3 linked regions of the Yarrowia lipolytica genome follow. The protein of the gene in region 3 interacts with the protein of the main gene of each other region in a pairwise test. Links are inferred from orthologs where the notes say so. Each region holds a gene or a part of one and is shown on either strand. Other genes may lie near its edges.

Region 1 (4,541 bases), on a different chromosome or scaffold from region 3:
GGGAAAGGCCGATCGGTTCTGTATGACCAGGTCACGTGAAGCACTGCCACCGTCACTTTGCCACCCTGTCGCCACCCACTGAAACGGCAACACAGCCGTGATTGGTCATACCCTGGAGTGGAACCGCAAGATCACGAGATGGTGGACAGCGTTTATCATCGCCCATCGGCTTTGTCAGAGGAGTGCTAAAATTAGCCCTGCCATAATTATGCCAGTGTCTTGTGAGGTCATTGCATGTGCATGAACTCTGATGGGCTCGATGTAGGCAACTAATTGAGATGGAAAAGCCGATTTTTTCAAGCTTGACACTTGATTTCTTCCCCAGCTCTTCTTCAACTCCTCAAAAAGCCTCCCGTCGCCCTCCCCATGTCCTTTGTAATGCCCGACTATGCCGAAACAGACCTGGCCCACTCGCCACCAGCTACTCCTCTCCCACACTCCCATACTGACCCATTCGCGCCACCAGTCGACATCTACGACCTGGGAAACATGTACATTGTGGTGACAAGTCTGCCGGCGGTGCGGTCGGCGGACCTGGAAACCGCCTACGACGCAGACTCCAACAGCCTGACCATCAGTGGCCACTACACCAACCCCTTTGCACATCTGTCCGACTGTCTCATGGTGGGAGAACGACACAACGGCTCCTTCCAGAGAACGGTGCGGTTTCCGCCAACGGTCAAAATCGACCCGCAAAAGGTCAAAATGCACATGGCCAACGGGATTCTTGAAATGCACTTGATGAAACAGCGGGACGCACTCAAGTGAACCGCTCGACAACCTCCCCTGCATCACCCAACACTCACCATCCCTAACTGTATACTAGCATTCTGAATTAATATCTTCCTCTTTGATTGTTCCTTAGGCATATCAGCGGGGATCCCGTATCGTAGTTACAACCATCAACACTTTTTGGTAAGTGTACCATTCTATACTCCAACTGGTCTGCAACTGTACAAGTATCTACAGCAGAACCTATGGTAAAGACATTGCATTTTTACAGGAAGTATCGTCCTACACGTTGATAAATCCAAAGATGCGGAACTTCTTCCACTTTTATCATCATCCCCTACTCGTACACTCGTACTCTTTGTTCGATCGCGATTCATTTCTATAAATAATCTTGTATGTACATTTACTCGGCAACAACCAGAGAAGCGGCACCCATACCGGTACCAATGCACATGGAGGTGACACCGACCTTCTTGCCAGACTCCTTAAGCTCGGAGAGCAGAGTGGCAAACTGTCGAGCACCGGTGGCTCCCAGAGGGTGGCCAATAGCAATGGCACCACCTCGGGGGTTGACCTTGGACTCGTCGATTCCACAATGCTGGATGGAGAACAGAGCCTGGGAAGCGAAAGCCTCGTTGATCTCGAAAACGTCAACGTCGTTGACGGTCAGACCAAGGTCCTCAAGGACAGCAGGAATGGCGTAAGCGGGGCCAATTCCCATGAGCTCGGGGGGAACACCGACGGTCTTGCAGTGGACAAACTTGGCAAGGATGGGCTGGCCAAGCTTCTCGGCAACAGATCGTCGCATGAGGAGAACGGCTCCGGCACCGTCGGAGATCTGAGAGGCGTTACCAGCGTGGGTGGTTCCCTCGGCGGAGAAAGCAGGCTTGAGCTTGCCGAGCTTCTCGGCGGTGACACCAGGTCGGATACCGTCGTCCTTGTTGACGGTAACCTCCTTCTCGTTGTCATCATCATCGAGAACAGTGGTCTTGATGGGGAGGATCTCCTGGTCGAACTTGCCGGCGGCCTGGGCAGCGGCGGCCTTCTCGTAGGACTTGGCAGCAAAGGCGTCCTGGGCCTTTCGGGACACGTTGTACTTGGCGGCAACGTTCTCGGAAGTGATACCCATGGGGATCAGGCACTTCTTAGCCTCCTCGTTGTTCTGGAACTTGTTGGAGAAGGGGGTGACGGAGTTGGGACCGTACTGGTTGGACATGGACTCGACACCACAGCCGATACCAATGTCAATCTGGCCGGCTCGGATCTTGTTGGCAACGTCGTTGACGGCCATCAGACCAGAGGAGCACTGTCGGTTGAGAGCGACGAAGGGAACGGTCTCGGGGATGCCGGCAACAAGGCAGGCAGCTCGGTGCTCAGTGGCACCGGCACCGGCAGCGAGAACGTTTCCGCAGACGACATCACCGATGAGCTTGGGGTCGATCTTGGACTCCTTGACGAGGCCCTCCAGCAGAGAGGCGAGCAGCTCGGAAGAAGAGGTGTCCTTGAACAGACCCTTGCCTCCCTTGGTGTGGGCAGTTCGGTAGGCGGCGGTGATGACAACGTCATCGGGGTTCTTGGAGGTGATAGCGTCGAGGCCCTTGGCGGGGTTCTGCTCGAGCTGGGTGGCGAGGTTGTTAAGTCGGTCCATTTTTGTGTGTCTTGGTTGGATGAGGTCCAAAGTGGGGGGAGTCTACCAGGCTTTATATACACCTGGTAGTTGCAACTTTCGGTATGATCCCCACGAAAGATAAAGTTCAGCATGTGGAGAGCCGAGGTAGTATGCGTGTGACAGAGACCCAAACTGGGGGTCACCGCGTGCACACTGGCGACGCCGCTCTGGAAGGTCACATGACCGCAGATACTCCGTTCTCCCCTCACGTCGATTCGGCTCGGGGACACGGTCAGCGCCATTGCCACGTGTCCACGGTTCTCTCCACTCTGTAGAAAGTCACTTCCACCAAGTTCCATGAAGCTTATTAGGTTTTTGGAGAAATCCGGGGCGGCATTTCTGGGGTAACTTGGGCAAGCCAGTAGTGGATCAATTGGGACCCGAATTGGGTGGAAGAAGGCGGTAACGGGCCCTTTGGGATCCCCACAATTGATCTAAGACCTTTGCTTGCCCCGATCTTGGCCCCCTCAGCCCCAACACTGTTGCTCTTCAAACTCCCCCATACCTCGGTTCAGATGCAGCCTTCAAAACTTTAACGTACCTCCGAGCCTGTGAAAACGTGGTCATGAAAAAACGAGAGATGTAAGTCCCGTCACATACCGCTGCGAGACCACCAGCTGTACATACACTTGGCGTTCCAGCATGCACGGTCGCTCAACAGGCGCTCCCCCATTGGCGGAAAGACAAGCCCCCACTAGATTCCTGTTCAAGGGCAAAGTCTAGAAGCCCGCCCCCCCAGCGCCCGTTTCCTTGTTAGTGCGGCCTGCACATGTCACCTGTCTGGCAGGTATCGTCGCTACTTTGCCAGTCGTATCGTCGTCAACGGATTGCGCTGCCCATTCACGTGTAAACTCTCGACGGATATCCCGGAGTTTCCCGCCGATCCTCCCGCGAGCCACTGCCACGTCGCCTCCTTCTTAGTAAGGCTGGAGAGAGCAACAACCGGTAGGTTTGATATGCACACTGTGGGGTATTGTGGGGATTCGGTTCGGTTCGGCTTTACTGGCGATAAGCGTCTCGATCATGACGTCAGGAGGTGGTGAGGAGGTGACGGGGAGGTGAGGAGCCTACCAGACAGGAAATAGAGTCGGGAAACAGAAACTTGGGCTACTGACGACCTATATATATTTGGACAAACATATTACACAGACACACCCGTCGCACAACACTACATCGTACTTGGACCATCTTGTGAAAGTATGTATGTACACTTTTTACATGATAATGTGAAAACGTTGGTGTATCGTGCAATGCGCGAACTCTGGTGTCCAAACTCCGTTATCGCTCCAACCGAAATCCTATTATAGAGCACACATGATATACACAAAGCACGGTTTCAACGGCGTTCGTTGGTAAACGTCATCTGATGTCTCACGGCTGAACCAGTAGTAGGTTCTGCTTACGTGAGACGTTTGGGCCACCTGAGCTGCTCACCAGACAGACCATTTAGTCATATCTCTCTCCTGGCAGCACCATCTTGCCAATGTCGACACATCCAGGACCGTAGCCGTCCGATTCTACCACTCCGACGTGTTTTAGGTATTCCACACTAGCCAGCCAATTGACTGTATGCACTGGAGACCCGATCATGGACTCGTACATCTCGTCGGCAGAGCCGAACGGCTTGCCCGAGGCGTTGGATACCACCTGCGGCTTGTCAGCGCTGAAATCGGGACGGATCTTGAGCTGCTGACAAACCGCATCGAGCTCGGACACCACCGGAGCCATGATGGCGGAATGGAACGGCGCTGAAACGTTCAGGGGGATTGCCTTCAGAACCCGCAGTTTGGAGGCTTTGAGATGCGCAACTAGCTCGTTGATGGCGGACCGTTCGCCACTGAGAACCACCTGGCCGCTGCTGTTGATATTGGCCACATTGGCTCCGTTCCAGCCCTCGCAGGCTTGGACCAACCGGTTGGTGTCAACCGTGCGATGCAACAACAATGCTACCATGGCTGTTTCCTTGCCACTCTCGTCGTTGGCTCGTTGCATGTAGTAGCCCCGCTTCTGGACCAATTGCACTCCCTGCTCGAGAGTCAGGTAGCCTCCACACACCAGAGCCGAGTACTCTCCGAGGGAGTGGCCCAGCAGATGGGAGTAGTTTTTGCTGGCGCCCTGATTGGCTAGGAAGCTGGCGTAA
Region 2 (4,451 bases), on a different chromosome or scaffold from region 3:
AGACCCCGATGGCGTCTCAGACGAATCTGTCAATGCCCCAGGCTTCCCCATCGGTCAAATCTGTGCTTGCAGACGACTCGTTTTCGTCCTTCACCTCTCTTTCTTTTGCTGCCAAGTCTGTTCTGGAGGACAATGGCTTGGCACAGGTGTTCCCCGAACCCAAGGAGCCTGCAGGCCAGAAATTTGAGCTTAGTGAGTCTGCATCTCAGATCTACGCTCTTCTGTGCTCGGTTCCCACTTCGGAACTCAACTTTCTGAAGTCGTTCACTCGACGACTGCTTCTCAAAGACGTGGGGGTGCCTCTGGATCTTGACGAGCTGCTCCCTCGCAAGGAAAAACAGCATTTAGTCATCAGACGAAGCCGTCGGTCGCTGGACAAGACGTCCAAGTCAAGAGATAGCACTGATGGAAAGACGCCCCCCGGCGGCTCTCGAGCGGCCACCCCGACTCCTACAGACTCGTCACGTGCCCAGACGCCTGTGACGGTCGATACCGAGCTCAAGCTCGACTCGTGGCTACGGCTGGTGGAGATTCGGCCCGAGCAGCGGGAACGAATGGAGCAGGAAGAGCTTCAGGAGCTGGTCAACCAACTCAAGACGGCCAACTCCGAGGCCAAGCTGCTGCTCAAGCAATGGGAAGACAAGCTGGCGCTGGGATACAAGAACAAGGAGGCGTTTGAAGCTGTTGTGGAGAACATGGTCGGGTTTGCCCAGAAGCAGAGATTGAAGAAGGGCGGTAAGAAGAAGTGAACAGAGTGCCCCGTGAACGGAGTGAACAGAGGTTGGAATAACGAAAACAACAACTACGACAACGACTACGACAACGACAACGACAACGACAATGACCACGAATCAAATAGACAAATATTTATTGCATACTACACAACTGACGGTTGGAATGTCAGTAGATCTATCCAGGTGCTTGGATTTGCACCAGAAGACCAACAAGTTGGTCAACTGATCGTATGCCTTTAGATATGCTCGTATAGGCACTTGTAGATCCACCAATCTCCCTCAGTTTGTATTCAAAAAGTGCAACCAGTGGGTGCATTTGATTACGTCGCCATCTACGCGTCCAAAACGGTGCAAGGCAGTCGCACCAGTATGTGTGTTTACATATGCAATAAATATCATGTCTAATTAACGGGAACGGCACTGGCGCCAATCTCCTCCACCTTCTTGGGAGCCTCAACCGCAGGCCGAGGAATCACTTCGAGGTAGTTGGCCGGCACGTATCCGCTTCGGCCGTCCCGAGTTCGCACTCGCCACCATTGCGAGGGGTTGCCCATGGGGTCTGTCTTTGCGAGAACCGCCACCAGGTCGCCCTTTCGCAGCTCGAGCTCCAGCTGAGGGTTCTCGGGCACAAAGTCAAAGTTGGCCCGGCAGAACTCCAGCTTGGAAGGGTCGATTTCGGCGCCACCCTCCATACCAGGGCCGCCCATTCCCATCTGGGCACCAGGCAGCAGGTTGCCATGCTCATCGTACATGCCCTCCTGCTTGGCGGCCAGCGCCTTGATCAGCCGACCCAGCAGGTAAGGCAGACCAAAAACGGCCGTCAGGAAGAAGAGCAACGGCTTGTACGAGGGCCGGGGACCTCTTCCGGGACCCGCCGCTCCGCCAGTAGCCTCGAACTTGGCGAAACCGGCAGGAGTGATGCCGTTCGCACCGGTGACAGGCTGGCCAGACAGCTTTGCCACCAGCCGGCGGGCCCACCGCATGATGGCGTAGATGCCGAGCAGCGAGCCGAGGGTGTTTTTCAGGTTGCCAAACTGCTCTGCAACAGAGACCATGGCGAAGAAGGACGACTGGGTCGCCATGTAGGTGGACTCGAGCATCTGCGCGAATCCACCCACGGCTCCAACGATGCTTTCGATCAGCTGGAATGTGGCCTGGGTACCTCCTGCCAGACCGTTCTGACCCATGGGTCCGCCACCCATACCTCCGTATCCTCCGTATCCCCCCATGCCTCCGTACGAGCCGTAGCCTCCATATCGAGAGCCGTACATGCCTCCCATGCCGCCCATTCCTCCGTAAGATCCGTATCCACCGAGTCCCGAGCCGTAGCCGGAGCCATACGACGAACCCATGCCGTATGATGATCCGTAGCCGGAGCCATAAGACGAGCCCATGCCGCCATAGCCCGAGTTCATGCCTCCGTAGCCCGAGTTCATGCTAGAGCCCATAGGCGAGCTCAGGGCGTTGGAGGTAGAGCCCATGGCCGAGGGTCTAGACGGCAGTTCGGGGGCTCCAGTTGCGCTGCCGGCTGAAGACGACACGGCGTCTGTGGAGGCCGGGGTGGCTGTTGCCGCCGGTGTCGCGGTGGCTGCGGAAGAGCCAGAGGCGCCTTCCCATGGTTTTGGTCGTGGCACGCTCATGTTTGCCTTGTGTTGTGTTGTGTTGTGTAGTGTAGTGTTGTGTAGTGTTTTTGAGAGAGAGCTGTGTTTGTGTCGCTTGTGTCGCTGTCGTCGTAGCTGCTGTTTTTGTGTCGCTTGTCTACTGTAACTCGTAGTTTGAAGTGTCCCGTCGTCAGTTATAAAGACTGTGCAAATACAAGGGAGAAAGTTGTGGAGAGATTCGGAGGAGGGTGAACTCAAACGAAAGTGGTAGTTTAGGGTTTATACGTTGGATTTTGACATTGAGAACATTGTAGAACAGATGTCTCCAGAACGAGCTGCAGCGGTCCTAGAGAGAAGCCGGAACCTCTGTTGGGATCACGTGATCTTTATGGGTGATATTTCCGCGTGAAATCCCCCCTTTTCCACCTTCAACGCCTCCAAGAACTCCCTCTTTTCTCTCTACTTTTTCACAAGAGTGGGAAACCTTATTTTCATGCATGTTTTCCCCACGTTTACCTCGGCAAAAATCACGTTGGCGGGGTGCACCGTGTAGGGTAACTAACGGCCGTGCATACACCGAGGCGTTGGTTCGAGGCGCGGTCCAGCACTTTTGGACAGTTGGTGGTTTCTGTGCGAAATCGGGGAACTGGCCAATCAGGGGCGAGTCTTTTTTGCATGTTTCTTTTTCGGAAAATCCGATTTTGCTCTCCAAGCAACCCTAACTTTTTGCCACCAGTTTCAGAAGTTAGCACCGGATTATTTAAAAAAAAATTGAAAAATGGCGAAAAAAAAATGGAAAAAAAAAAACAGAGAAAAAAAAGAAGAAAAAAAAACCGGAAAATCGGAATGAGAGAATGTGAAGACAGTGACGTAGAAGATGGTGAAATACACAAGACGGTGAGGTACAAATTCACCTGAAGTCCCAGTACAAGGGTACACTCGTATTTGCACGTATAGAATTTATTTAATTAATTAATTAATTAATTAATTAATTAGTATGTCGGAGTTCGACTTGTGAATCAATGTACGGGTACAAGTACGAGTACTTGAAGTGATGAATGTCCTAATCTGTACAACCATTCTAGAGACTGTCGCATTCATGGCATCGGGCTCGGATTCTTCCAGCTCCTCCGTGGAGTCAGAAACCGCCATCTCTTCAGCAACATGAGGAGATGAAAGACTACCTGTAGTAATCACTCAAGATCCTGCAAACTGCAAGTTGGATCTAGGAGATTCTCGGCGCAATGTCTTCATCCCAGGCTTAGAGACTGGATCGGTAATCTGGTCTCTACTTGCTCCAAGACGCGTTTACATCCAACTCAAGAGCTAGGACGGAGAGGAATCAAGTTGATACCACTGTTTTGACACTGATATGGTTGCTCTTTTGGTCTTTGGACTCAGAAAACAGGTACTATGACGTCTGTCAACGGTGGAAGGAGAGCCTGGCACCGCATTGAGTTCCATTATCAAGTTCAAGGGTTGGAGCTTGGACGAGGGTCGGACAGGGGTTGGATTCAAATGCGCGAGGCGGTACTGTATGTACTGTACTGGAAGGTGTCAGGTCTCATGTCTCTCGTCTCTTCTACTTGTAGTCTTTCTTCTTCTCATACACGTCTAATACACGTTCCTGTTAATAATCCATTCTATTATAGTCGTAGCAGTTGGAGTCACTTGGGCATCTCGTTCCAATTCACTCAAATCCCCCCAAGTAACGGTCACTGCTTCGCATCTCGCAATGTTGAGCTCGTTAATGACCTCCAGTAGTAGGCAGACCGACCGACAGCTTGAAAGTATCGTAAATGAGCCACTGCATACCGGTCAGGGTACCAATCATGAAGATTCGCACCGGCAGACCGTTCCAAAGACCCTTGAAACCAATTCGCTTGTAGATTCGCTCCACGGTCTGCAGAGTGGACTCGCCGGGCTTCTGCTCACTGTTGACCTTGGAGACCATGACGTCGGCGGGGTGGGAAATGACGGCACACAGAATACCGGCCAGGTAACCTCCGGCAAAGGAGACTCCAATCTGCTGGGCGGTGGAGAAGTCCTTCTTGGGCTTTCCGAGATACTCGTAGATCTTCTCGACAATCTTCTCGAACGAAGCAAACTTGACCAT
Region 3 (4,510 bases):
AAAGTGGATGATATGTGAATACAGCGGTTTTTGTCAGGGAGAGATAAGCTCCTGGTGGAGACCCGGCGACAAGACATGGCCTGTGTGTACAGTGGAAGCTACAGTATCTTCTAAAACATGTACAGTATGGAGAGTGTCTTAGTTTTAGTGCAACTCCCATGCCAGTAGCATCCCATGATGTTACCCCAATCGCATGATACACTTGTGCTTCACAGTGTCTCATGAATCATTATTACCGAAGCATCCAAGTGCTTTTTGAGCTCTAAACCCTGGCGATAGACAATGGACAAAAGCACCGACTCGCCCCAGCAACTCGTAAAATATCCCGGGACCTTAACTGTGTCTTGGACATGTGATGGTTCAGCTGGAGGAGAGCTGTGATGTGCTTTTTAGGTCAACATTCGAGGGAAAAAGCAATATCACGGAGATGTTTTCACGGATTGGACGTGGATCTCCGGCGGTCTCGGAGTGACAAAGTGTTTGATTCAATTGAGTACATAAAGGATCATAATCATATGACGGAAGGAACTGTGGAAAACTAAAGAATTGTCTCGGTTCAAAATGTAACACTTGTATGTCGTCTTGTTAGAGACTCCAGATAAGAGTGTGTCAAGGTGAGCACAGTCTGAAGTGATGGTCGAGGGAGTCAAAGATATTCGCTGGTTGTTCCAGGCAGTCCAAAGTGACGCCTGTTTGTTCCATATCTCATTAACAGTCCAGAAGTGCTACAGCCAAGTCTTTGGTGCTCGTATGTCCTCTGAGGCATGCCTGTTAGGATGCTACTATTGATCTACAAGCGTGAAACCGTCGGGATGTACTGTATCTAGACTAAAGATCTCATTTTGTAAGAGTACAGCAGTTTCAGCTTCTGTAAATAACCGAGTGTATCTACTTTTCCGTCACTATCGTGGAGACAAGATAGGACGCAACCTGCGCTACCAGACAGAACATAATCAGACCCCGTATGTCGACTCGTGTGAGACAATAGTAATGACTAAGACTATATTCCCTGGGTACTTCTACTAGTAGTGCGTGATGGCCACTCACAATGGTACGAGTACATACGTACATACACTGTCAGTAAAAAGCTCGCTAGGAAGCCCTACAAGCACACCTCACTCTGGTCGGCACAAGTACTCGAACATTTGGATTGTAGCTCGACTCTCGGAAGATACAACGTTGTAACACCCCCGACTATACTGCTCCAACACTATACTGCTCCAACACTTACCATGTTAATCATGCATTGCACTATTGTTTCTATTGTTTACGCATGCCAAACATAAACCATCTGGTCCCATCCAACGGTGGTGATCCATCCAGGATCGCCCCATAACGACCAGTCGCCGCCAATAACGAACTCTGTGTGTCTGTCCATGCATTTCACTTCTGTTCCACCCCGCTGTCGAGCCAGATAGTTGCCTCCAGTGCTAGCGTCCCGCCAAACTCGAGCAGTCATGTCGTAAGAACACGACAGCAGCAAGTCGGCATGATGCGGTGACCACGAAACTCCTCTGACGGGTAGTCTGTGGCCCAGAATCAAGCTCAATGGCTGAACGGGTTGGTTGGCTGCAGGTTGAGTCATTCGGATATCGTAGACCTGAACAGACCGATCAACGCCACCTGTGGCAATCACTGTGGGTCTGTACTTGTTCCAGTCCAGCGACAGAACCTCTGGTGGTCCTCCAGACTCGGTTTGCTGCGTGGAAAACTGTTGCTGGAGAGGCTGGGGTGCTCGAGTGTCCCACACCTTGACCATTCCTGTGGAGTGTGCGGATGCAATAATCGAGTCTGTGTGAGGCGAGAATTTCGCCGAATAAATGCACTCCTGGGCTGCTGCCTGGTTGGGGGCCGTCTGACGGCCAATGTGAGCTGAAGCGTTTGTTCCCTGGGCCGGAGCAGGCTGGCCAAGGGTCATGATGGAGTTTGTACGTTCCGGCGTCCAGATTTTGATTGTAGAGTCCCATGAAGATGTGCAGAAGAGCGCCTTGTTGGCCATGTTCCAGTTGACAGAGAAGACTTCCCGTGTGTGCTCCTTGAACGATACCAGAGGGAAGGCACCGGCCTTGATGTCGAACAGCTTGACTGATCCGTCTCCGCAGGCGGTTGCCACGTGGTTTTCATGTTGCTCGGACCACGCGACATCAAAAATGCCGTCCTGGGTGTCAAACTGGCCTTCGCAGACCATGCGGCCCTCGGGAGAGATGCCCAGAATGAAGAGTTTTCCGTTTCCGACCAGCCCGTAGTTGGCCGCCGTTCCGACCGCAATCTTGTCGTTGAAAAACGGCGAGTAGTTGGCCGCGTAGCCGTTGAATCCCTGTGTTTTGAATCCCAACATGTGTAAAGATGTGATTTGTGTACTAGAGTGTGTAGAGTAGGTGAGTGTGATTGAGTGTCAGTGCTTGTGTTTCGGTTGACTTAACAAGCAATTCCAACAGATTCAATGTCGTCGCCCTTGACAACTACCATTCCAACGTACCGCTGATGGGTACGAACTCCTTTTCTGCTGCGAACCTCGCTGGTGTCAGTGAGAATGAGATTGGCCTCGTTGTCGATGGTGATGAGGCGGCCGAAAAAGGTGCGCTGGTCGTCTTCGGGGCTGCTGTCGCTATCTGGCTTCACGGCGACTCGGAGAGGTTGCGAAATGAACCTGTTGAGCTGAGTCTGGATCGAAGACATTACTTTGGGTGGGGGAATGAGTGAGAAAAAGTTAGGTGTGTGAGTGGGTTAGGGGAGTGCAATCTGGTATCGCAGTGTGGATTGGTGGTGGCGGTGGCGTAGGTCACTTGTCGTGCTGTCGGAGTGTAGGAAGCGGATGCGTACTCTTTTTGGTATCGAGATCACTAGCACAGTAAACCAAAGCTGTCGCTCAAACTTGACTTGCCCTATTTATACTGTAAGATGTGGGAGTGGGTGTGTCTCCCACTGTTGATTGGGTTCACACATTGAGGGGGTGCCTGAAAATTAGACCGGGTCCGGACTGTACGCGGTCATCACGTACAGTACTTGTATAAAACAAAATGTCGTGCTTGTAGGGTGGTTTCTGTGTTACTAAGAGAGAAGAACAAAAAAACACACTTCAATCACTCTCTAGTCTCCCAGAAGTGCTTCCATCTCAAACTCCTAATCAATCTCATCTCACTGTTTCCCAAGGTTAGACTCTCAAGCATCCCAAACCGCCTTGATTTTGAGATGTAGATGTCCCCGTGGCTCGAGGAAGTGATGGTTTAGTGTCGGACGTTGGTGTATTTATATTCTTAACAACCAAACGTCACAACCCCTCTGTCGTTATACTCCTCTTGACAACGCACGTGTGGAGTGGTATGGAGCAGTTCAACCCAGTTATGATTGGTCTTTCGTGCAAGTACCTACTGTACTGAGAAGCTTGGGCTCAATAACTTGGGCACTTATACACACACAAGTAAAGATCTATTTACTTCACGAAACGTGTACAGAAACGTGTACATAACGGGCACATAACGGCTTCTCTCTCTACTCGCACCAATCCTAACCTCATTGTCAGTCCCTCAACCTCGGCTCAGCCATGCTAACGGACGTGCATTGAAGCACTGCAGAATACCATCTGCTTCGGTCATGTATGTACAGTGTGTACGATACTGTAGGTGTTGAATGTGTTTTTTTAAGCTGGGAGCGGTGCGTGTAGTGAGAGAGATGTGCTGTTTTTTCAGCACTCGTGCAGTGAGTAATGTACATCACACGTACTCGTACTCGCACTGGTTGTGAAACAGTAGAAGTTCTATTGTACAGTAGTGTTGAGTTTTGTTAGCTTTAGTTGGACATGCGTTTAGCTTTCGAGACGACAGAAACCGCACCAGAAACCCGAATGGTGAGCATGCTCGCCAAAAGAAAGCCATCGGGCCATTAATGGCATGACTGCGTCCTATATAACATCAAATCACTCACTTAGATTCAACCCAAAGTTGGTTTCGTCTCGACCCACTTTGAATCAAAAGTGACGTCACCTCTCCAACCTTGCACCACCCAGTCAGAAGCGGAGCCTGTCTGAAGATGGGTACAAGATATCGTCCCATCAACAAGACGGATCTGACGGTGTCACCTGTGCGATATAAGTACTCGTACTAGAACCAAGACAAAAACTGCCGCATCTGACCGTCTGTCTCCTCACCGACCTGAAACCCACGGAACCTACTCGACTTCAACCACTAGCTACTCTGAGCGAAAAACCGGCCGCCGTCTCTTGTCTGTATCAAAATGCGGTCTGCGGCTCCCCATGTCTCACTTTTCAAACTGCAAGTGAAGAGCGGCGAGAACGAATGAGGAGCTGTTGGAGGTACGCGGGACTTGTCTGTAGACGGTGTGGAGGACGTAGGGGAAACTATTTGCACCCCGAGCCGTCCAGCATCTCGAATGCCTCCTCGTTGGCTGTCTCAGGTCTATTGGCACGGATCCCAATTTGGAAACACATCACCTTTTTTCATTCAACCCAAAAGGTTATCAGTGAGGCTATTTTTTTGGACGAGACGGGCCT

The links. The genes of interacting proteins can lie anywhere in the genome.
Region 1: the proteins of YALI1_F24635g (region 3) and YALI1_E22238g interact in binary tests that used the Saccharomyces cerevisiae proteins (3 or more experiments, as listed by UniProt). The link is inferred for Yarrowia lipolytica from reciprocal best matches to the Saccharomyces cerevisiae genes PEX7 and POT1.
Region 2: the proteins of YALI1_F24635g (region 3) and YALI1_C07451g interact in a two-hybrid assay, tested with the Saccharomyces cerevisiae proteins (2 studies listed by BioGRID). The link is inferred for Yarrowia lipolytica from reciprocal best matches to the Saccharomyces cerevisiae genes PEX7 and PEX13.

The regions. Positions count from the first base shown.
Region 1 is NC_090774.1:2,221,457-2,225,997, forward strand, and holds YALI1_E22238g (uncharacterized protein), read right to left. Parts: upstream 2,381-4,541; coding exon 1,136-2,380; downstream 1-1,135. Other genes in the region: YALI1_E22218g (uncharacterized protein), read left to right, coding at 367-768; YALI1_E22245g (uncharacterized protein), read left to right, coding at 3,044-3,105, 3,159-3,440, 3,489-3,708; YALI1_E22262g (uncharacterized protein), read right to left, coding at 3,848-4,541. UniProt on the Saccharomyces cerevisiae protein: Responsible for the thiolytic cleavage of straight chain 3-keto fatty acyl-CoAs (3-oxoacyl-CoAs).
Region 2 is NC_090772.1:743,059-747,509, reverse strand, and holds YALI1_C07451g (uncharacterized protein), read right to left. Parts: upstream 2,375-4,451; coding exon 1,136-2,374; downstream 1-1,135. Other genes in the region: YALI1_C07481g (uncharacterized protein), read left to right, coding at 1-749; YALI1_C07423g (uncharacterized protein), read right to left, coding at 4,083-4,451. UniProt on the Saccharomyces cerevisiae protein: Component of the PEX13-PEX14 docking complex, a translocon channel that specifically mediates the import of peroxisomal cargo proteins bound to PEX5 or PEX21 receptors.
Region 3 is NC_090775.1:2,461,251-2,465,760, forward strand, and holds YALI1_F24635g (uncharacterized protein), read right to left. Parts: upstream 2,339-4,510; coding exon 1,268-2,338; downstream 1-1,267. Other genes in the region: YALI1_F24615g (uncharacterized protein), read left to right, coding at 283-377, 428-542; YALI1_F24649g (uncharacterized protein), read right to left, coding at 3,520-3,722, 3,767-3,875. UniProt on the Saccharomyces cerevisiae protein: Receptor required for the peroxisomal import of proteins containing a C-terminal PTS2-type peroxisomal targeting signal, such as 3-oxoacyl-CoA thiolase. Specifically binds to cargo proteins containing a PTS2 peroxisomal targeting signal in the cytosol.